Linked DNA regions of Oryctolagus cuniculus. The protein of the gene in region 2 binds, or shares a complex with, the protein of the main gene of each other region. Links are inferred from orthologs where the notes say so. Each region holds a gene or a part of one and is shown on either strand. Other genes may lie near its edges.

The links.
Region 1: SCAP (region 2) and RNF139 share a complex: the UniProt entries of both Homo sapiens proteins name them as parts of the SCAP-SREBP complex. The link is inferred for Oryctolagus cuniculus from reciprocal best matches to the Homo sapiens genes SCAP and RNF139.
Region 3: the proteins of SCAP (region 2) and INSIG2 are in contact, whole or in part, in a cryo-EM structure (PDB 7ETW), measured with the Homo sapiens proteins. The link is inferred for Oryctolagus cuniculus from reciprocal best matches to the Homo sapiens genes SCAP and INSIG2. Residues at the interface, in NP_036367.2 of Homo sapiens: Pro200, Ser206, Val282, Ala283, Glu284, Ile286, Pro287, Thr290, Ile294, Ala297, Tyr298, Phe301, Lys305, Tyr351, Val354, Val355, Glu359, Thr409, Leu410, Val411, Ser638, Tyr639; in NP_001308258.1 of Homo sapiens: Phe41, Val45, Leu48, Leu49, Ile51, Val55, Leu57, Phe58, Pro59, Val62, Ser65, Ile66, Glu104, Trp105, Ser106, Met109, Arg110, Val112, Ala113, Val114, Val116, Gly117, His120, Gln132.

What each region holds. Positions count from the first base shown.
Region 1 is NC_091437.1:150,138,197-150,144,582, forward strand, and holds the start of RNF139 (E3 ubiquitin-protein ligase RNF139), read left to right. Parts: upstream 1-2,780; 5' UTR 2,781-3,091; coding exon 3,092-3,272; intron 3,273-6,386. UniProt on the Homo sapiens protein: E3-ubiquitin ligase; acts as a negative regulator of cell proliferation through mechanisms involving G2/M arrest and cell death.
Region 2 is NC_091441.1:101,359,414-101,365,821, reverse strand, and holds the start of SCAP (sterol regulatory element-binding protein cleavage-activating protein), read right to left. Parts: upstream 3,557-6,408; 5' UTR 3,450-3,556; exon of another isoform or gene 3,298-3,449; intron 3,105-3,297; exon of another isoform or gene 2,987-3,104; intron 1-2,986. UniProt on the Homo sapiens protein: Escort protein required for cholesterol as well as lipid homeostasis.
Region 3 is NC_091434.1:115,976,566-115,982,814, reverse strand, and holds the start of INSIG2 (insulin-induced gene 2 protein), read right to left. Parts: upstream 4,300-6,249; 5' UTR 4,151-4,299; intron 4,077-4,150; exon of another isoform or gene 3,565-4,076; intron 1-3,564. UniProt on the Homo sapiens protein: Oxysterol-binding protein that mediates feedback control of cholesterol synthesis by controlling both endoplasmic reticulum to Golgi transport of SCAP and degradation of HMGCR.

The DNA.
Region 1 (6,386 bases), on a different chromosome or scaffold from region 2:
CTGCCTGTCAAAAAAATTAGTTTTAGAAACAGTTGAAACATTAATAAAGTAAGAACTGGAACATTTGCTCATTAATTTTTTTTTTTATTTAACACTCACTACAAAGAAGGAAAAATGGAGGGGCTGGTGTTGTTGTGTAGTGGTTAAAGCCGCCAGTTCATGTCTCAGCTGCTCCACTTCCAATTCAGCTCCCTGCAAATGGCCTGGAAAAGGCAGGGGAAGATGGCCCAAGTATCTGGGCCCCTACCACCCACACGGGACACCCAGCTGAAGCTCCTGGTTCCTAGCTTTGGCCTGGCCCAAGTGCTGACTGTTGCAGCAATCTGGGGAGTGAACCAGCTGAGAGCAGCTCGCTCTCTCTCTCTCTCTTTCAAAATAAATAAATTTTTAATGAAAGGAAAGGAACTATTCTCTATTTTGTATGATCATCATACAATGTTACTCACTTCCTGGCTCCTCTACCACACTTCAGGTTAGACCTTGTGGACCCTTCTGTCCATAAGGGCTTCTCTCTTGCTGCTTTAAATTGCAGTGGGTAGAATTACAAGATAAGGGAAGCAGCTGATTTGCACTTTAAAAATCTCAGTAGAGGGCCGGCGCCTTGGCTCACTAGGCTAATCCTCCACCTTGCGGCGCCGGCACACCGGGTTCTAGTCCCGGTTGGGGCGCCGGATTCTGTCCCGGTTGCCCCTCTTCCAGGCCAGCTCTCTGCTGTGGCCAGGGAGTGCAGTGGAGGATGGCCCAGGTGCTTGGGCCCTGCACCCCATGGGAGACCAGGAAAAGCACCTGGCTCCTGGCTCCTGCCATCGGATCAGCGCGGTGCGCCGGCCGCAGCGCGCCGGCCGCGGCGGCCATTGGAGGGTGAACCAACGGCAAAGGAAGACCTTTCTCTCTGTCTCTCTCTCTCTCACTGTCCACTCTGCCTGTCAAAAAAAAAAAAAAAAATTCTCAATAGAAGACTTCATATTCCTCTCATCTCACCAAGTTTGCTTTCCTCTGGAAACTTAGTCATAAGATTATTCCTCCACATGTGCAGTTTGGGCAAATTTACGTAACTGGCAGTAGTAAACATAGGATTAGAAAAAGTGGCAGCTGTAAGCAAGGATACTGCAATAAACCAGGCAAGCGATAGTAGGCTGATTTAGGATGGTGACGGCAGTAATAGAAAGGAGACTGGTGCAGGAAAGGAGACAATGGGGCAGGTGCTGTGGTGCAGTGGGTAAGAACCGGTGGCATCCCATATCAGAGTGTGGGCTACTCCATTTCCAAACTGGTGTCCTGCTAATACACAGGGAAGCAGCAAATGATGCCTCAAATACCTGAGTCTCTGCCACCCACGTGTTAGACCCAGGTGAAATTTCTTGGCTCCATGCTTCAGCAGCCATTTGGGTAGGATCTCTGTCACTCTGCCCTTCAGATAAATAAATCTTTAAAAACAAAGAGACCGAGAGACGGTGAAGACCGAATGAATACAATTTGGTTGCAGAATTAGCTGTGGATGAAAAGAAAACCAGAGATGCCTGAAGTGGGTCGACATCCCCTGAGTCTTTGTGGCTTTGGACATAATTGTGGCCCACCACTTACCTACTACCTTTGGAATTTTGTCACTCATCAAAGCCTAATTTCCCTCCTCTGTAAACAGGGATAATACCCGCCAAAATAAGACTGACGCCAAGCTGTAAGCCCAGTGCACCGTACATAGCAAGCAACAGGCAGACACATGGGCAGTTTTAACGGAATAACAGAAATTTAAAACAGGAGCCACAGGAAGGCCTTTGGGTGGCGGGTCCCATCTCTGAGCACCTGCGCCCTGAGGAACAGGTTTTTGGAGGCGCTCCACACTTGGACTACGGACGCTCCTTCCCCTGGGGGATCCTGATCACCCCCATGGAGTCCAGGCAGAAACTGGATTGCAGGATGCACGCTGAGCTAGGAGCCAAGGCTTCCTGCTCCCTCCATCTAAGAAACCATAGGGCTACAGTGCTGACGCGGACTACCTTTCAGTCTCAACTGGTGGTGGAGGGGCGCAAACACAAGGACGGCCAGATCTGACCAATTGCACGTATAGGCAAGAGGGGCTCAAAAAATAAAGACCTCGATTGCCTTCCGGAGGCAGAAGCACCGTCCGGGCGTGCTTACCTCGAAGACGGAAATCAAAGAGCGGCCTGGGTTCGAGCCCCCAAGCCACGGCCCCCCGGTCGGTAGTACGACGTGGCCGCTCATCGTGCTCAGCGTTTTCCGTCTGGGAAGGGGGTAGGACAGGCATGACTGTTTTTGGCCGCGCCTTCCACACCTAGCCCAGTGCCACGTAGAGCCTCCGCTGCGAAGTCGCGCGCAGCGACGCCTGACCAGGACCCAGGGCGCCCTGACCGGCAATTTCCCTGAGGTTGCTGGGGCCAGGCCTGGAGGGTGGCGTCCTTTGGCTTTTCTCTTCCCAGGCAGCTCTGAACTATGTTTATGGGACGTTTACTGCGCTCTAATAAAACAGCAAATAATCAAAACCCGCAGAGCTCGAATCGCCAGCTGAGGCGCCGCCGCGCCGCCCCAGGGCGAGGCTGAGGACTACCGCTAGGCACCGCGCGGTGGCGCCAGGGCGGCGCAGGAAACCATGGCAACGCTTTGCGCCGTCTGCTGCGCCGCGGGTGACGCCGGCACAGCGAGCGCCCCGAGCGCCGGATTATGACGCAAGCGGTGGCGCGGCGGCCTCGCGGTCTCGCGTGACCGCGGGCGCAGCCTGCCGGCCTAGCAACAGCGGCTGAGGCAGAGGCCGAGGCAGGCGGGGTCAAGATGGTGGCTCCCCGGGCGGGGGAGGCGGTGGAGGGAGGAGGAGCCAGACCATAGGCTGCCGGAAACACCGACACCCAGAGACCTCCCGGGGAGCCGCCGCCGCCGCTGCCGCCGCCGCCGCCGCCTCCGCCGCCTGCTCCAGCTCGAGAGACGCGAGCGGGCGGCGGGGCGGGCCGTGAGGGAGACAGAAGGGGAGGGCGGACGGGGCGGAGACACCCGCCGAGCCCCCGCCCCCGGCCGCGGTCCCGGGCCCTGCCCCGCGCGGCCCTGCCCGGCCCGCCCAGCCCCGGTGTGGCAGCGGCTCATGGCGGCTGTGGGGCCCCCGCAGCTGCAGGTGCGGATGGCCCACCAGCAGGTCTGTGCGGCGCTCGAAGTGGCGCTCCGGGTGCCCTGCCTCTACATCATCGACGCCATCTTCAACTCCTACTACGATTCCAGCCAAAGCGGGTTGTGCATCGTGCTCCAGATCTTCCTCCGGCTCCTTGGTAAGGGGACCGGGGTGCCTGCGCCCTGAACTGCTGTGCGGCCCGCGACGTGCCCCGGGGCGCGGGGCAGCCGCGCGCAGCCCGTGCTCCGCGTGTGTGTGGGAATGTGTGTCTTTGGGGACCACGGTTCGATTCCCCACGGGGCCGTCTTTGCAGGGTGGGACGTGGAGGAGGTGGTACTCGTCTCGGAGGTGACAGCGGCGCGGTCCTCGCCGCCAGCCTGCGTGTGGGCGGCGGGAGAGCCAGGGGTGTGTGAACCTGCAGTTTCTCCTGGGGATTGAGTGCTGACCGACCGTGTCCTGTGCGGCAGCCTTGGGAAAGCCGCTCTGCTTGTCCCTGTCGCGCCGTGCGTGACCTTGGACTTGCGCCAAGGCGTGGACCTCCGTCCCCCCCCCACCCCCGAAAAATTCAGAGTGCCCGTGCGGTCCCTTGTGCCGCACCCGCGGGTCCACAGGATCGCGGAGAGTCTGCGGTCAGTGGTGACATCCCAGCCGAGGCTCTGAATGTCAGACCTTGGAACCGTTACCAAAAATCCTCCCGAGAAAGGCGATACTAATAACGAGATCTTCCGTTTTCCGTGAATAAACGAAAAGGCGTTCGACGTGATGTTACAGTGTTGGCTGGCAAGTAGGAAACACTTGCAGAATTCCACCCGGGAGATCGTTGTCTTTGTTGCATATGGATGGAGTATTGGAAAGGTCTCCATCTTCACTTGCACGCCCGGCGTGAGAGGCATTGATGTGTACAAGAATGTTTTCTAAGGCATTGCAAACTGGCAAATGTTGTCGATGAGGTCACTGTTGCGATCAGGCTGGTAGGCTGGAGCTTTTGAAGTGTGAATGAGCGCTGGCTGGTGGTGGGGTCCTTAGCAAGCTTTTCGGAATTAGCAGCCATCTGTTGCTGTATTCCTAAGGCGAAGGAGTGGCAATAAAAGCTGAATTTTATTCTCAGCAGTAAGCGACTGTCCCACAGTTGTCTGCTGTCGCACAGCACTGGCGCTGGTGCTGTCTGACCTAACCTTCAGGCATTCCTTGGAGGTGAGCGGTGTTCTCCTCACTTTACGGATCGGGACCCTGAGCGTCCCAGGGGTCAGTGTTCTGATACCCCGTGGGTAGGTAATTGTCAGCCTGGACTTCAAAACCCTGTGGACATCAGTTGTGGATCAGCTCCCTCCTCCGGGCGCTGTGATCCAGGTACATGATGGTGTAGTAAAGATCACGTGCTGGGTTTCAAAACTGAGAGACGTGAACTTGGCGTTCTGTAGCACCAGACTTCTCAGCAACCCGTCGCTACCGAGTTCCCGCTGCTCTTACTTAACCCTGCGAGTGTGTGCTCATCACCGGGATTCGTGGCCAGGATGGGACTGCTAGGAGGATTCTGCATATTCATTCCAGAAACAGCACAGCCACTCCTTGAGTGTTCTGAGGGCATACTGATTGCAGTCTGCAGTCGCAGAATCCCTTGGGGACCTGGTCTTCAGTGCAGTGCCCTGTTGAGCTTTTCCCTTCCAGGACAGGGAGTATTTTCCCCAGTTAAGCCATGTGTAGTTTAACGACACTGAACAAAGCAGTCTGGTGTCTCCTTGTATTCTCCATGCTTCTTGTTTTTTGTAATAAGTCACGGACGTTTATTTGACAATTTTAAAGAACGGGACTTAAGGGGAGTGACTTACATGCTCTGTGACTTCGTTTTCTTTACCATCTCACAGGATGTTTGGACAATAAATGAGTAGAAATGTAATCTCTTAAAAGAGCACTTTTGGATATGTGTTAGCTCTTAATAAACTTGTTAGCTTTTTAAAAATATTTTAACGAGTCACTTCAGACTACATGTTCTTATGATAGCATCTCCAAGATTTTGATGCTGTTTATTTCAAAATTTTGATTCTAGAATATTGTTTAGGTTTGATTTTTTTAAAAATATGAAAGTTTCCAAATATGTTACTTATACTGTACCAGTGTAATTATGCTAACTTTTCAAATATTTGAGAATAAAAATAAAAAAACTCGTGTTAGTAATAAAATAATTCACCCTAAAATGAATATGTTATTAAAAGTGATAGTTTCATATGCAAAAGGTCCCAATAGATATTGAAATTAATTTTCTGCCAGGTTAATGTTTTTGTAGTTGGAGACTTCCTAGAACTACTGTTATACTCAATGGTGTCAACCTCACCCTTTTCTTTAAAGTTAATTTGTAAAAATGGAAATCTATCTGTATAAAAGTATTACCAATTTTATTTATAGTATTTAAAGTATTTATTTCCCCTGACTACAAAGAGGTGCTACAATTGTATTCTCATTTGCCATCAAACTAATTTGAGATTTAAGTAGGTCAGAAAATAAAGCATTTCATTTTGGAGATTCAAACAGAATTGTACAAGATACAGATTAGAACATAAAGTTGTTTCTAAGGAGTTGTTAAATGCTAAATGAAACTCAACCCAAAGCAGCAAAATGCTGAATCAGCAATTTTAAATCCAGAAAGTGCAAGCATAGGCGTTTGCTTTAATAGTATTACTCATATGGTGATAATTCATCTAGGTGGGAAAGGACTTTCTAAGACATAAAATAAGATGCAGAAATTACAAGGGAAAATCTGATAAATTTGAGTACATAAAAATGAAAACATTTTTATGGCATAATTTAAAAAATCCTTAGAAAAGACAAGTCAAGGGGGAAATCATTGTATCATATGTGATTTCTTATTCAATAGGAAAACCTTATACTTCCATAGAAAAATAGGCCTGGCAATTCACAATAAACAAAATGCAGAAGTCAATAAACAAGAGAAAAAGTACTTAGCTTCATTTGTAATTAAAGAAATGCAGTCAAAACAAAATTTTACTTATCAGATTGGTGAAGAATTCATTGTTTGATTTGGAAGAAGTTTGGCATTTTACCTATTTGAAATAGGTAAATTTATACAATTTTGGTAGACTACATAATTTCCATGTAAAATGGTTTGGCACTGGATTGGGCCTTGTGGCGTAGCAGGTTAAGGCACCCCTTGGGATGGCCATAGCCCATATTGGAGTGCTGGTTCGAGTCCCAGCTATTCTAGTTCCAGTCTAGTTCCTGCTAATGACTCCTGGGAGGCAGCAGATAATGGCTC
Region 2 (6,408 bases):
CGCGGCGCCGGCCTCTGCTGCTCCATTTCTGATCCAGCTCCCCACCACTGCACCTGGGAAGGCAACAGTGAGGGTCCAACTGCCTGGGCCCCTACACTTGGGTGGGCGATCTGGATAGAGTTCCAGCCTCCTGGCTTCAGCCTGGCCCAGCCCTGACTGTTGTGAGCATTTGGTTAAAGAACCAGCAGATGGAATCTCCCTCTCCCCCTAGTTTGTGGTCTCTCCCTCCCAAATAATAAATATATATATTTTTTTAAATAAAGAACTGGGGGATGATGCTGTGGGTGTAGCGAGTAAAGCTGCCACCTGCAGTGCTGGCATTCCATATGGGTCCTAGCTGTTTCACTTCTGATCCAGCTCCCCCAAGTGCTGGAAAACAGTGGAGTATGGTCTAAGTCCTGGGGCCCCTGCACCCACGCGAGAGACCTGGAAAAGCTCCTGGTTCCTGGCTTCGGATGGCCCAGCTCCCACAGCTGCAACAATTTGGGGAGTGTGAACCAGTAGATGGAAGATCTCTCTCTCTGCCTCTTCCTCTCTGTAACTCTGCCTTTCGAATAAATAAATAAATCTTTTTCAAAAAAAATAAATAAATAAAAAGGAGGTCCAAACAAAGCTTAACTTCTAAGGGTCCAGCACTGTGGCACAGTAGACTAAGTCTCTGCCTGTGGTGCCGGCATCCCATATGGGTGCCGGTTCATGTCCCAGCTGCTCCACTTCCAATCCAGCTCTCTGCTATGGCCTGGGAAAGCAGCGGAAGATGGTCTAAGTGCTTGGACCCCTGCACCCACGTGAGAGACCCAGAGGAATCTCTTGGCTCCTGGCTTTGGATCAACACAGCTGCGGCCGTTGCGGCCATTTTGGGAATAAACCAGCAGGTGGGAGACCTTTCTCTCTGTCTCTCCCTGTCTAACTCTACCTCTCAAATAAATAAAATCTTTAAAAAAAAAAAAGTTTAAATTTCTAATCTTGTCTAAGAGGCTATATAGTCTCTATAGGTTTAAATTTAAGGCTGGTGTCATATTTGACAGACTATTGATATAAGACCTTCTTTCATATTTGTGACTGCAATTTTACAAACAATTTGTAATTGGTATTAATATGAAATACCTTTCTTCCTGATTAAGTGTAATTACAAGTGCAATTACTTCTGCTGAGGAACAAACAGATACACAACACTTTGTGTATCTTATGCTTTCAGAAAATGCTAAATATCAAAGCCAATGTTCTTCAATGTTTTAATCAATTCCAACAACAAAAGTTAAAAGCACACTCACTCAGTATGTGTTTATATATAAAGTATATAGGTGTGCTGTGATAATAGAATGTACACTGTAAACTACATAATGTAAAATTTAAAAGGCTGAGATACAAATGAAGACCAGTTTTAATATCCACCACCACCCCCCCACACACACACACAGACATGCATTCCTAATGCTTGCACACCTCTGGTCTCCACTACAAAGGTCAATCCAGCAACCCCACAAGATTCTTCAGTGACCCTGACCTACTGAGTTCCACTATCTGTGACACTGGCTTCCTCCATCACCCACTGCCTTCTTCATCTGCCAGTGGAGCAATGGAGACGATTGAGCCAGCGGGTGCAAAAACCGCATAAAGGCACGGACTCTTGTCAGATCAACCTAGGTTTGCCCAGGGGCTCTGCCTCTAACTCACTGGGTGACGACCCAGGGCCAGGAAGGTAAATCTCTACATCTCCAGTATAAAACGGGTGACAGTGACATCACCTCATCTGATAGTGCAGATCAAGTGAAACACACCAATACTGGAGCACCCAGCACAGCACCTGCCAGCACAAACTTAGTAATTATGACCCAGAACGATGACTTCAGTTGGCAGAAGTCGGCCCTGAACCTTGCCTCCTTAGCCAACTCAGGAAGGTAGCTAGTTGCAAATGGAAGCAACTCAGGAGGCAGAGCCTGGCAGATCTGGTTTGAAGGCCTGATTCACATTTACAAGTAGGGCGACCCTGGGAGCCCCGTTTCTCCAGGAATCCGCTCACCCGCCAGTGGCAGTGATGACACAAACCATACAAGAGTACGTGTGCACGGAGGCCCACAGCATGGCTCTCTCGACACGCTCACGTATGACCTCAGACAAGCCAAAACTGTGCACCTCTATTTTCTAGTCATCAACCAGGAGTAAACTTTTTACCACCCTCCTGACAGCAAACTAACCTAAAGGCGGGGTGGGGGTGGGGGCTTAACCAGCGATTATAAAATACATGAGGCCTCTGGGAAGGTGCACAAGAGATTTCACACACCAGATCAATTCCTAAGCCATGAAAACCAACTCTTTCAACTTCACAGCCAAAAGAACGAAGGTGGAGATAGTCTTTAGAGACTTTCACAGCACGTTCCCAGTGGGAAGGCTGCAAATGCTTGGAACACCTAAAATCTAACCGGGATGAACACGCAGGAAGGAAGATCCAGTCTCCAGTCAGGCGTCACTCGGGAGCACGCACGGAGCAGACGCCTTCGACGCCCACCGCCCGGTAAGAGCGTCCATCACCAGCACAGCACCGGGGAGGACGCTGGACAACCAGACGCCGCAAGGGAAGGCACACACAGCTAACGCCAGAGGAAGCCTCTTCTGCGCCCCCACACAGGCCCAGGAAGGGAGTCCTTAACGGCCCGGCCCTGACGGTCACCCCCACCCGGAGGCGGAGGCGGCAGCAGCGCCAGCGCCCCCGGGGGACTCGCCGCCCCTGCAGCCCCGCCATCTGCACAACCCTCCGGGCGCAGCGCGGACACGGGCGCTACCGTCACTCTAAGCCCAGGGGCGCCCGAGGCACTAAACCCCCCTGCAAGTAAACACAAGCCGCGGCAGTGAGCAAAGTTTAGGTCCGAGCGGCGCACACAACGGAAAGCCGAGCTGCGCGGCGGTGCCGTGCCCGCATCCCCCCAGGGGCAGCGGTGCGCCTCACTCTCTCCCCGGCCCCCGGGAACGCCCAGACTGTACGCACAGCACGTTCTAGAACCGACAGCGGCCCGGGGCGGCTGGACCACGGAGCGCGACCCCCTCCTCGGCGGCGGCCCCAGGGACCCGGAGGTGGACGGGGGCGGGGGCGGGGGCGCGGCCGGGTGGGGGTGGGAACGAGCCGGCCCTGCCCGGCCCCTCGCGGGACTGCGGGCTCCCAGGCCCGCCCGCACCACTGCTGGACAGCGCCCACGCCCGCGCGCCCCGCACGCCGGCTGCCGCCACCCGGAACTCCCGGGTCCGCGCGGCTGGAGGCCCGAGCCGGGGCCCGCGTCGCGAGGACGCGCGCGGCGGTACCTGTGGCGGCGGCGGCTCCTGGTCGGCGGCGGTGGCGACGGGGCGCGACGTGCGCTCTCCTAGCCCGCGGTCTGGTGCGTGGCGCTCCCCTGGTCTCTCCCGGCCGCCCGGCGCCCGCGCAGCCCGCTGCCCCTTCACCTCTCACCTCCTACCTTTCCCCTCTCGCCCGGCCTCTCTCCACACGCGCTTCCAGCGGCGTGCGCAGCCGCAGTCGCGCCCCGCCCGCTGCTCCCGCTCGCCCTCTGGCGGCTATGTGGGCGCACTGCGACGCCGGGGGAGGGCCCAGGGTGCGCTCCGGAGGTTGTGACAGCGCGCTCGGGAGAGCGGTCAGAACGCGCAACAAGATGCCGGCGTCCCTGAGAGGCGGCGGAGAGACGCGAGCCAGGCGGGTCGAAGGAACTGCCTCGGCTTCCTGACTGATCACCGGCACTGAAAGCGGCTCCTGAAAGACAGTTCGGAGCGAGCCGGAGGACACGGGCCCATGTTTGTTAAGCACACAATGCGAGAAGGGTCTGGGGCGACCCCGACGTGTGGTCGGGGTCCTCTCCAGGCGGGAGGATCGTGGGCGATCAGGTTTGTGCCGTTGGGTGACCGGCTTTGAACCGTTTTCTCCGTGCCACGGCCACACTGGATGTTTACTGTGTTGCGTCCCCATCCCAGGCCCCCGTTGGACCCAGCTCTCGGAGTGTAGCGGAAAGTGCCAATGCTCAGAGGCGACTTTCCCTGCCTACCATGCTACTGTCACAGTGAAATCAAACTCAAGTGGGGTCCGCTGGCCTTGGCCTAAAGCATCAGGACTGCACCCAATGTTCAGCATTGGCTATTGGCTTATGGTGGAATCTTTCATTCCATTGCCAAAAGAACTGTCTTGTTTGTACTTAACAGAAGCAACAGGTGCAGCTGTTAGCAGCACTTGGGATCTGGGCCTCCTACACAGTGCTTTCACGTACTGTGGCACAAGTCCCACCTCCAAGGCATCCTTTTTTTTCCCCGGCACATTAGCGGGGAGCTGGATGGGAAATGGAGCTGCTGGGACTCGAACTGGCACCCAAATGGGATGCTGGCGCTGGTGACAGCGGTTTGACCTGGTGAGCATCGGTCCACCCAGAGAATAAAGTGAAATCAGAGGACTCCTGACCTCTAGGCCCTCTGGACCAAAGTCTTCTCTCCAGAGAGGGTCACGAGCCTGTCTTTTAGCAAACTACAAGACAGGGAGTAGGAAGACTGTCTTGGGAACTGCTGTCACTCTCCTTCCTTACATACAGAAAAGCTGAGAGCCATACGGGGAATACCCGTGTGCCCTAGAAGCTACAGCTGCAGATGCGTTGCTTAATATCTTGCATTTATCTAAAACATCTTTGCCTTTATTCACCTGTCCATTTCTCTTTTTAAATTTATTTAAAAATCGAGAGACAGACAGACATCCATCATCTGTCTGCTGACTCACTGCTCAATGGCCAGAACAGCCGAGGCAGGCTGGGCTGAAGTCAGGAGTCAGGAACTCCCTCAGGACCTCCCAAGTATTGGAGACTTCACCTGCTGCCATCCACGGTGTGCACTGGCAGGAAGCTGACCTGGAAGCAGAGCTGGGACTCGGACCCAGGCACTTTAACATGGGGTGCAGTGTACCAAGCGCCGCGTTCACGGCAGTGCTGAATGCCCTCCCCAGTCCATCTTACTGTAGATGCATTTCCAGGTAAGCTGCAGATACCCAATGTTAGTTTTCACTAAATAGGGGCTGATGTTTGAAAGGAAAGGCTACCACCAGACACACCAAACACCAGAGTCAGGGAAAAGGTTTATTGTCCCCGTGCAGAAGAGAACAGCAGCCTGTGCTAGAACAGTTCCTACCTGGCTTTGCAGAGGGAGGGAAGTGGGAGCAGCAAATCCCAGAGTGGTAGCGGTGGAGCCGATGCTTGTGATTGGGCCGTTTGTTCACCTGACTTCTAATAAGCCAGGCTGGGCTTAGGAAGACGATACCATTTTACTAACAATGTTATGGTATAGTGGGTAAAGCCACTGCCTACGATGCTGGCATGTCCTGGCTGCTCCACTTCCAATTCAGCTCCCTGCTAATGGCCTGGGAAAAGCAGCAGAAGATGGCACAAGGTTTTGGGCCCCTGCCACCCACGTAGGAGACCCTGATGAAGCTCCTGGCTCCTAGATTCAGCCTGAAACAGTGGATGGAAGCTCTCTCTCTTTCTCCCTCTAACTCTGCCTTTCAAATAAATAAATCTTAAAAAAAAAAAATTCTCAGTACTAGACCTTCTACCCTGGGCCCATTCTCAAACCTCCTCTCATCTAATCCTCAGAACAATCATGAAAAGTAGAGGCTGAGTTTACTTTAAAAGACAGAAGCCTGGGGCTGGCGCTGTGGTGCAGTGGGTTAACTCCCTGGCCTGAAGCACCAGCATCCCATATGGGCACCGGTTCGAGACCCAGCTGCTCCACTTCCAATCCAGCTCTCTGCTATGGCCTGGGAAAGCAGTAGAAGATGGCCCAAGTCCTTGGGTCCCTGCATCCACATGGGAGATCCGGAAGAAGCTCCTGGCTCCCAGCTTTGGATTGGCGCAGCTCCGGCTGTTGCAGCCAATTGGGGAGTGAACCAGCGGACAGAAGACCTCTCTCTCTCTCTCTCTGCCTCTCCTCACTCTGTGTAACTCTGACTTTCAAATAAATAAATAAATCTTAAAAAAAAAAAAAGACAGAAGCCTGGGCTGGCTCTGTGGCATAGTGGGTAAAGCCACCATCTGCTGCACCAGCATCCCATATGGATGCCAGTTCAAGTCCCGACTGTTCCAGTTCCGATCCAGCTGTTAATGTGCCTAGGAAAGCAGTAGAGGACAACCCAAGTGCTTGGACCCTGCATTCTCGTGGGAGACCTGGAAGAAGCTCCTGGCTCCTGGCTTCCAATCGACCCAGCTCAGGCCATTGCTGCCATCTGGGGAGTGAAGCAGTGGATGGAAGATCTCTCTGTCTCTCCCCAGGACTTCACCACAACGTGGGAAACCACTGCTCGGGATGCCCACATCTCATGCTGGAATGCCCACTTAAGTCCTGGTTCTCTGCCTCCTATCCAGCTTCCTGCTAATGGGCCAGGAAGGCTGCTGC
Region 3 (6,249 bases), on a different chromosome or scaffold from region 2:
TTAAAATGTTTAGATTTTCTAAAAAGCGTGTTTATAATATCAGTCACCCGGTGGCAGAGAGGGTTACACTCAAGGGAAAGTTCTAGGGAATAAGTATCTTTTTATTTAAGTTTTTTAAGTGAATTGTGTTTTTTCCGATTATGTGTTGATACTATTTGCTTAAAAACAAATTATAGGAACCAGTGTTGTGGCACAGTAGGTAAAACCACCATCTACAGTGCCGGCACACTGCACACACAAACAGACCTGGTTTGTGTCCAGGTTGCTCCACTTCCAATTCAGCTCCCTGCTAATGACCTGGGAAGAGCATTGGAGGATGGCCCAAATGTCTGGGCCCCTGCCATCCAAGTATCCAGACATGGGTCCAGACAAAGCTCTAGGCTCTGAGATTCAGCCTGGCCCAGCCCTGGCTGTTGTGGCCCTCTGGAGAGTGAACCAGTAGATGGATGATAGGTCTTTCTGTCTCTCCCTCTCTCTTTGTAACTCTGATTTTAAAATAAATTGAGGGGTCAGTGCTGTGGTCAGTGGGTTATATGTTCTGGCCTGAAGTGTCGGCATCCCATATAGGCACCGGTTTGAGGCCCGGCTGCTCCACTTCTGATCCAGCTCTCTGCTATGGCCTGGGAAAGCAGTAGAGGATGGCCCAGGTCCTTGGGCCCCTGCACCTGTGTGGGAGACCCAGAGGAAGCTCCTGGCTCCTGGCTTCAGATCAGTGCAACTCCAGCAGTTGGGGCCAACTGGGGAGTGAACCAGCGCACAGAGGACCTCTCTCTCTCTGCCTCTCCTCTCTCTATGTAACTCTTATTTTCAAATAAATCTTTAAAATAAAATAAAATATAATAAATTGATCTTTTAAAAAGATCAAAGTATACCTGTATGTTTATTTTTTAAAGAGGGTTAATTTTTTATAATTTTTCTTATTATTTCAAAAACAGAGAGAATGAGATAGTGATCTTCCATTCACTGGTTCAATCCCCAAATGACTGTACCTCCTGGGGCTGGACTAGGCACATGCCATGAACCAGGAACTCAATGTGGGTCTTATGTGTGTGGCAGGGACCCAACTACTTGAGTCATCACCTTCTACCTCCCAGGGTCTGCATTAACAGGAAGTTGGAATCAGGAGTGGAGCTGGGACTCAAACTCAGACATTCCAGTGAGGAATGTTGTGTTCTAAGCAGTGTCTTAGGTACTACACTTAAACACACAGCCATATACCTTTAACTATTGCTCTAACAGCAATGATAAATTTGATACTCCCAATTTTAAAAAAATACATGAAAAGTATAGATTATATGACCAGTAACTTGCCAACTAGAAAAGAAGTCTCTGGTATAGATATTGTTTAAGGGCAATTTTTTAATAGATACTCAGCAACAATCCTGATAAACAGGTAGGTGCTTTTAAGCACATTTTACAAAACAAAATAGATCAATTAACTTTTCAGAATCACAAAACTGTGACCAAATAACATCAGGGCTGAGCCCAACCGTTCTGCATGTCCAGAGTTCTTCCCACTTGACCACTTTGCCTCCATTTACAAATACTACATGTCAACCACTGAAGTGCCACACAGAAACAGCTTTCAAAATCATATTGACAAACTACTACTAATACCAAAATGATGTTTTCAAAAATTTACATAGTAGATTACTGCACAGAAAGAAAAATAGTTTACATGATTTGGAGAACTCGATAATAAATCATCAATAACAGGAAAGCACTGTTCCAGGCACACGACCCCTGTCCATGGATTGATATTAAATTTATTTATTTATTTTTTTGACAGGCAGAGTGGACGGTGAGAGAGAGACAGACAGAGAGAAAGGTCTTCCTTTTGCCATTGGTTCACCCTCCAATGGCCGCTGCAGCGGTTGGCGCACCGCGCTGATCCGAAGCCAGGAGCCAGGTACTTATCCTGGTCTCCCATGGGGTGCAGGGCCCAAGCACTTGGGCCATCCTCCACTGCACTCCTGGGCCATAGCAGAGAGCTGGCCTGGAAGAGGGGCAACCGGGACAGAATCTGGCGCCCCAACCGGGACTAGAACCCGGTGTGCCAGCGCCGCTAGGCGGAGGATTAGCCTGTTAAGCCGCGGCGCCGGCCCTGATATTAGTCCTTTTAGATAAATGAAAGAGGGCTGTGATTGTGGACTTTGAGAATGGAAATCAAAGTTTATGCTGACCACTGAAACCGCTCACACACATCCAAAAAATCTCCTAGTAGCCCTGGGAGCAGGCTGGAACCCTAGTTAACAGGTTGTTAACAACTACAACACCCCCTTGACCCAAGCATCAGGATCATTCCCCCTCCAGTGATAAGGAGTCACAGAAGGACGGCTGCTGCTTCAGATTCCTGGCTTTCCAGGTGCTTAGGACAGGCAGACGACTAAATAATAAAGTTAAATTACTACCTCACATCTTTTTCAAGATATGCTCTCTCTCAAAATGACATTCTCAAAAACAAAATAAGCATTAGAAAAACACACTTAAATCAGGGAAACAGTTTACCCCTTCACACATACACACACAAACACACACACATATGAATCATATGCTAGGGACATTATAAACTTGCAGGAAGGAAAAAAAAATGTTTGCCTGGAAGCCATGTCAACTCTTTTCTCTTGACTTTTAAACCCACACACAGAAACCACTAAGCAAGTAGCATTTGAGAACCCATTATGGCTTTTCAATGTCAAACCTTAGTCCTGAAAAAAAGCTAGGCTAAGATTTGGGGAGAATTTTCTGTTGACAGTAAAAGCAAGCTGTCCTTAAATTCCTGAACTGCATTTTATCCTTTCCTCTTTAATCTCTTTCCCAAAGGTACACAATTCACAGCGTGGTCACTTTATAACCAGACACGAACTGAGAACTAGGACAAAACACACTGCGCCAAAAGGCAATACTGAGCACAAAGTCTAGAGAAAAAAATTAAATGAAGGGGGGAGGGGGACGGGAATAGTGCAGGGCAAATTTTATTCCATGCAGCCCCAATAGGTAGGGGCATCCTCTTCCACTTGCACTCCGTGGTCTGCTATCACAGCCAAAAGTTGGACAGCACCAGCTAGCCACAGCGCGGCTGCTTCATTTCTCCTGCACCAGGGCTGGAGCGCGCCTTCCCCTGCATCACCCCTGCTCCACTGCAATACTGACGCCGGCCAGTTTCGGTGCACCCGCGGTCAAGCCTCCCCGTTCCTTCTTAATGCATTTCCTCACCAATTCTACAAAACAGCCAGTGCCTCACAGCATGATTTCCTAGGCCATCTGGCTAGTACCACTCTTTAACAACTTTTTCCAACATTCACCGGGCACGCGTCGTTATCACTTTAGGACCCTTAGACCCCCGCCCCCCGTCACTCCCACGACTTTCCTCCTCCACATCGCCAGTCCCCACCGAGTGACCCTCAAACTCCGGTCACCATCACCAACCGACTTCCAGGCCCTGGCAAGAGGCCCCACTGGCTTTAATCACACACCTACCCCCGAGGTATCCAAACCAACTTGCCAACGGCCTCAGCCCCGTGTCATCTCTCCGGATGGACCTTACGCTTACTAAGTCCCTACCTTGTGTAGCCACAGCCCGCTCTCTAGCCCGAGCTCCGTCTCGCCGGCCACAGGCCACGCGAGTCCTGACAGCGTTATGCTTGACAGCTCGCCGACCTCCCCTCATCAGACCTCCAGGGTCGTCCTTCCCGGCGTCCTCCAGGCTTTTCCCCACTCATTCACTCCCGCGCCGTCCCGGGAGCCTCGGCCTCTCCTAATACCCCTCCCAGACTCCACTGTCCCATTCAGGAACTAGCCGACCTCTCGCCAGGTGAGCGGAGCCCCTCGCCCTGCAGGCCCCATCTATGGTCCTAGCCACCCGCACCTGCCGCCAGTGTTCCCAGGCTGCAAAACCACAAGTAGTTCCTCTTCCGAGGGACCACCCTCTTCCTCGGGCCGCTTCCTCTCTGCACCTCTTCACTCGCGCTCCGCCAAGAGACCCCAACTCACCCCCGCCTCCGCCATCTTCTGGGACCGGCCCCCACCCCCCGCCTCCGCCTCTTCCTCCTCGCCTACAACTCCGCCCAAGCCCCACTGCGCCTGTGCGGCTGATACGCCGCGCGCCGGTGCTCGGGGCAAAAGAGCTTCCGGTTACCGCGGGCACTACCTGGCAGGTTAGCGAATCGGGGCAACGAGGTTTCCGGTCTGCGGGAAATTGGCGTCTGGCGGTGGGCGTGGACTGCCTATGTGATGGGAGGCATCCGGATCAGCTGTTGTTGACTGACCAGGCCTTCGTTGTGACGGTTGCCCAGACCCTGTGGGCGGAGTAAGGGGGATCGTGCACAGACACACGCACACACCCCCGGAGGGGCGTGGCGCTCGGCGTGTTCCTTGTCTCCGAGCGCGGTCGCCGCCGAGGCTGGTGCGCAGGGGCCAAGTTCTTCTTGCTAAGAACGCTGTTATCTGTGCTTGTGCCCAGCTCTCCTCTGGGCCCCTTTGCCTTCCTTACCAAGTGCTAACTTATTTGGGAGAAACGTATGGTTTGCCCTCCATCCCGCAGCATCCTGTGCACTTTTCGCTCCTGATCGTTCGCCAAGGACGGCCAGGTAATGCGGTTTGGAGACCATAGTTCTCTGAAGGACGGTACTTAGAGGTTTACACCCAGGTCGAGAAAACCTTGTAACCTCTTGTCAGAAGCATTCGTTTCCCTTGGCTTGAAATGGTGCTTTTAGAACGTTGGACCAACCCTGAGAGATCTTGGGAGATTGTTGTGAATCCAGTGAGCCTATGAGTGCATATGCAAGCCGTATGGGCGCCAAGAAGTAGTTGGAGTTGTAGTATTCGTTATAAGGAATTGTCTTCCTGCTATGAAATGTAACTATATAAATCAAAGACAAAGCCCAAGTCTCTCTTGAGTATATTACACTACTGGGCTATCCCACGAATCACCTTTTGGGACGTGGCTTCACCTAAAATACATTATGATTGTGGTCAGGTTACTATGGTCTTCAGGAAGGTTTTAGGTGAAATTCAAGCCTAGAATAATTGCGTAATAGATTTTTGCAAAGAAGTGCCAGTTGGCGAAACTCATTTCCTTTATTTTGAGCTGGTAAATGATAAACTGAATTTTTATGTTTCCACTCTTTTACAGGCATGTTTGTTTCTGGAAAATGAAATAGAAATTAAATTTACAACAGAAGTTACTTGGCAAGTATTTATGTGACCCTTATTTTCTCTAGCTCTTAAATTTCACTCTTGCAGGTTTTTAAACCCTATGTGTGTGTGTGTATTTGAGCTAACTATACTGAAAAAACTAATGAATTAGGGAAAAAAAAGCAGACAGGAAAGAAACAATACCTTTAAAATGTGTGACATCAAGACTGTGTAAAACAATGTGGATCCTGTATGTTCATGCCTATTCCAATCCTACTGTTTTCAAACACTAAGGAATTGTCTTCTAGAAAATATTTATGGTGAATTTTAGCCTAAAAAGACATTTGTTTTATTTTAAAATACACATTAATTGCAAAGAGGAACAGGACTTAAAGCACAAGAACCCTGGGACACCCTTTCCTGAGGTTCTTGCACCTAATGCAGTCATCACTACCACAGTCCAAGGCAGAGTATAAAATCCTTAGGAGACATATAAAGGGCCATTGTCTTAGATGAGGTTGAGGACCATTTTCACAGAAGATATGGTCCTTCCTTGGACGTTGAGGGTAGATATATAGCTATGGTGAGGCTGTGCTTTATGGTGGGTGCTTATGGTTGGAAAAACAAAAATCGCACCATAGAGCCTGGTATGTGAAAGGGTGGGTGATGAGACATGAGATCTGAACATCAGTCTCATGAATTTAGACTAAATTATGTTGTCATGAAAACATTACAACCCTAAATTAATTGATGCCAGAACATAAATCGGGAACTTTGAGAAATCAGAGTAAGTTTGGGGTATTCTGCAGTTGGTATAATGTTGTTGGTGGAATGCTGTCGAAGGAAACCTGGATGGTATCTTGGCCCTGAGACAGCATTTCTATGGTCATGTCCAATACATTCAGCTTTTTAGGCTTACTTTTCCTCATCTGTAAGATGAGAAATTGGTCTGAATGATTTCTAAGGCCCTTTTCATAGATAGAAATATCGATGACTTGATAATTCTGTGACTTTACAGAAAAATTTCTAGCATTGCCTTACTTGTTTGACCTCCTAATTGAATACACCAAAAGGTAAAGTTCAAAAACAAAACCAAAACAGAAAACCAGCCTC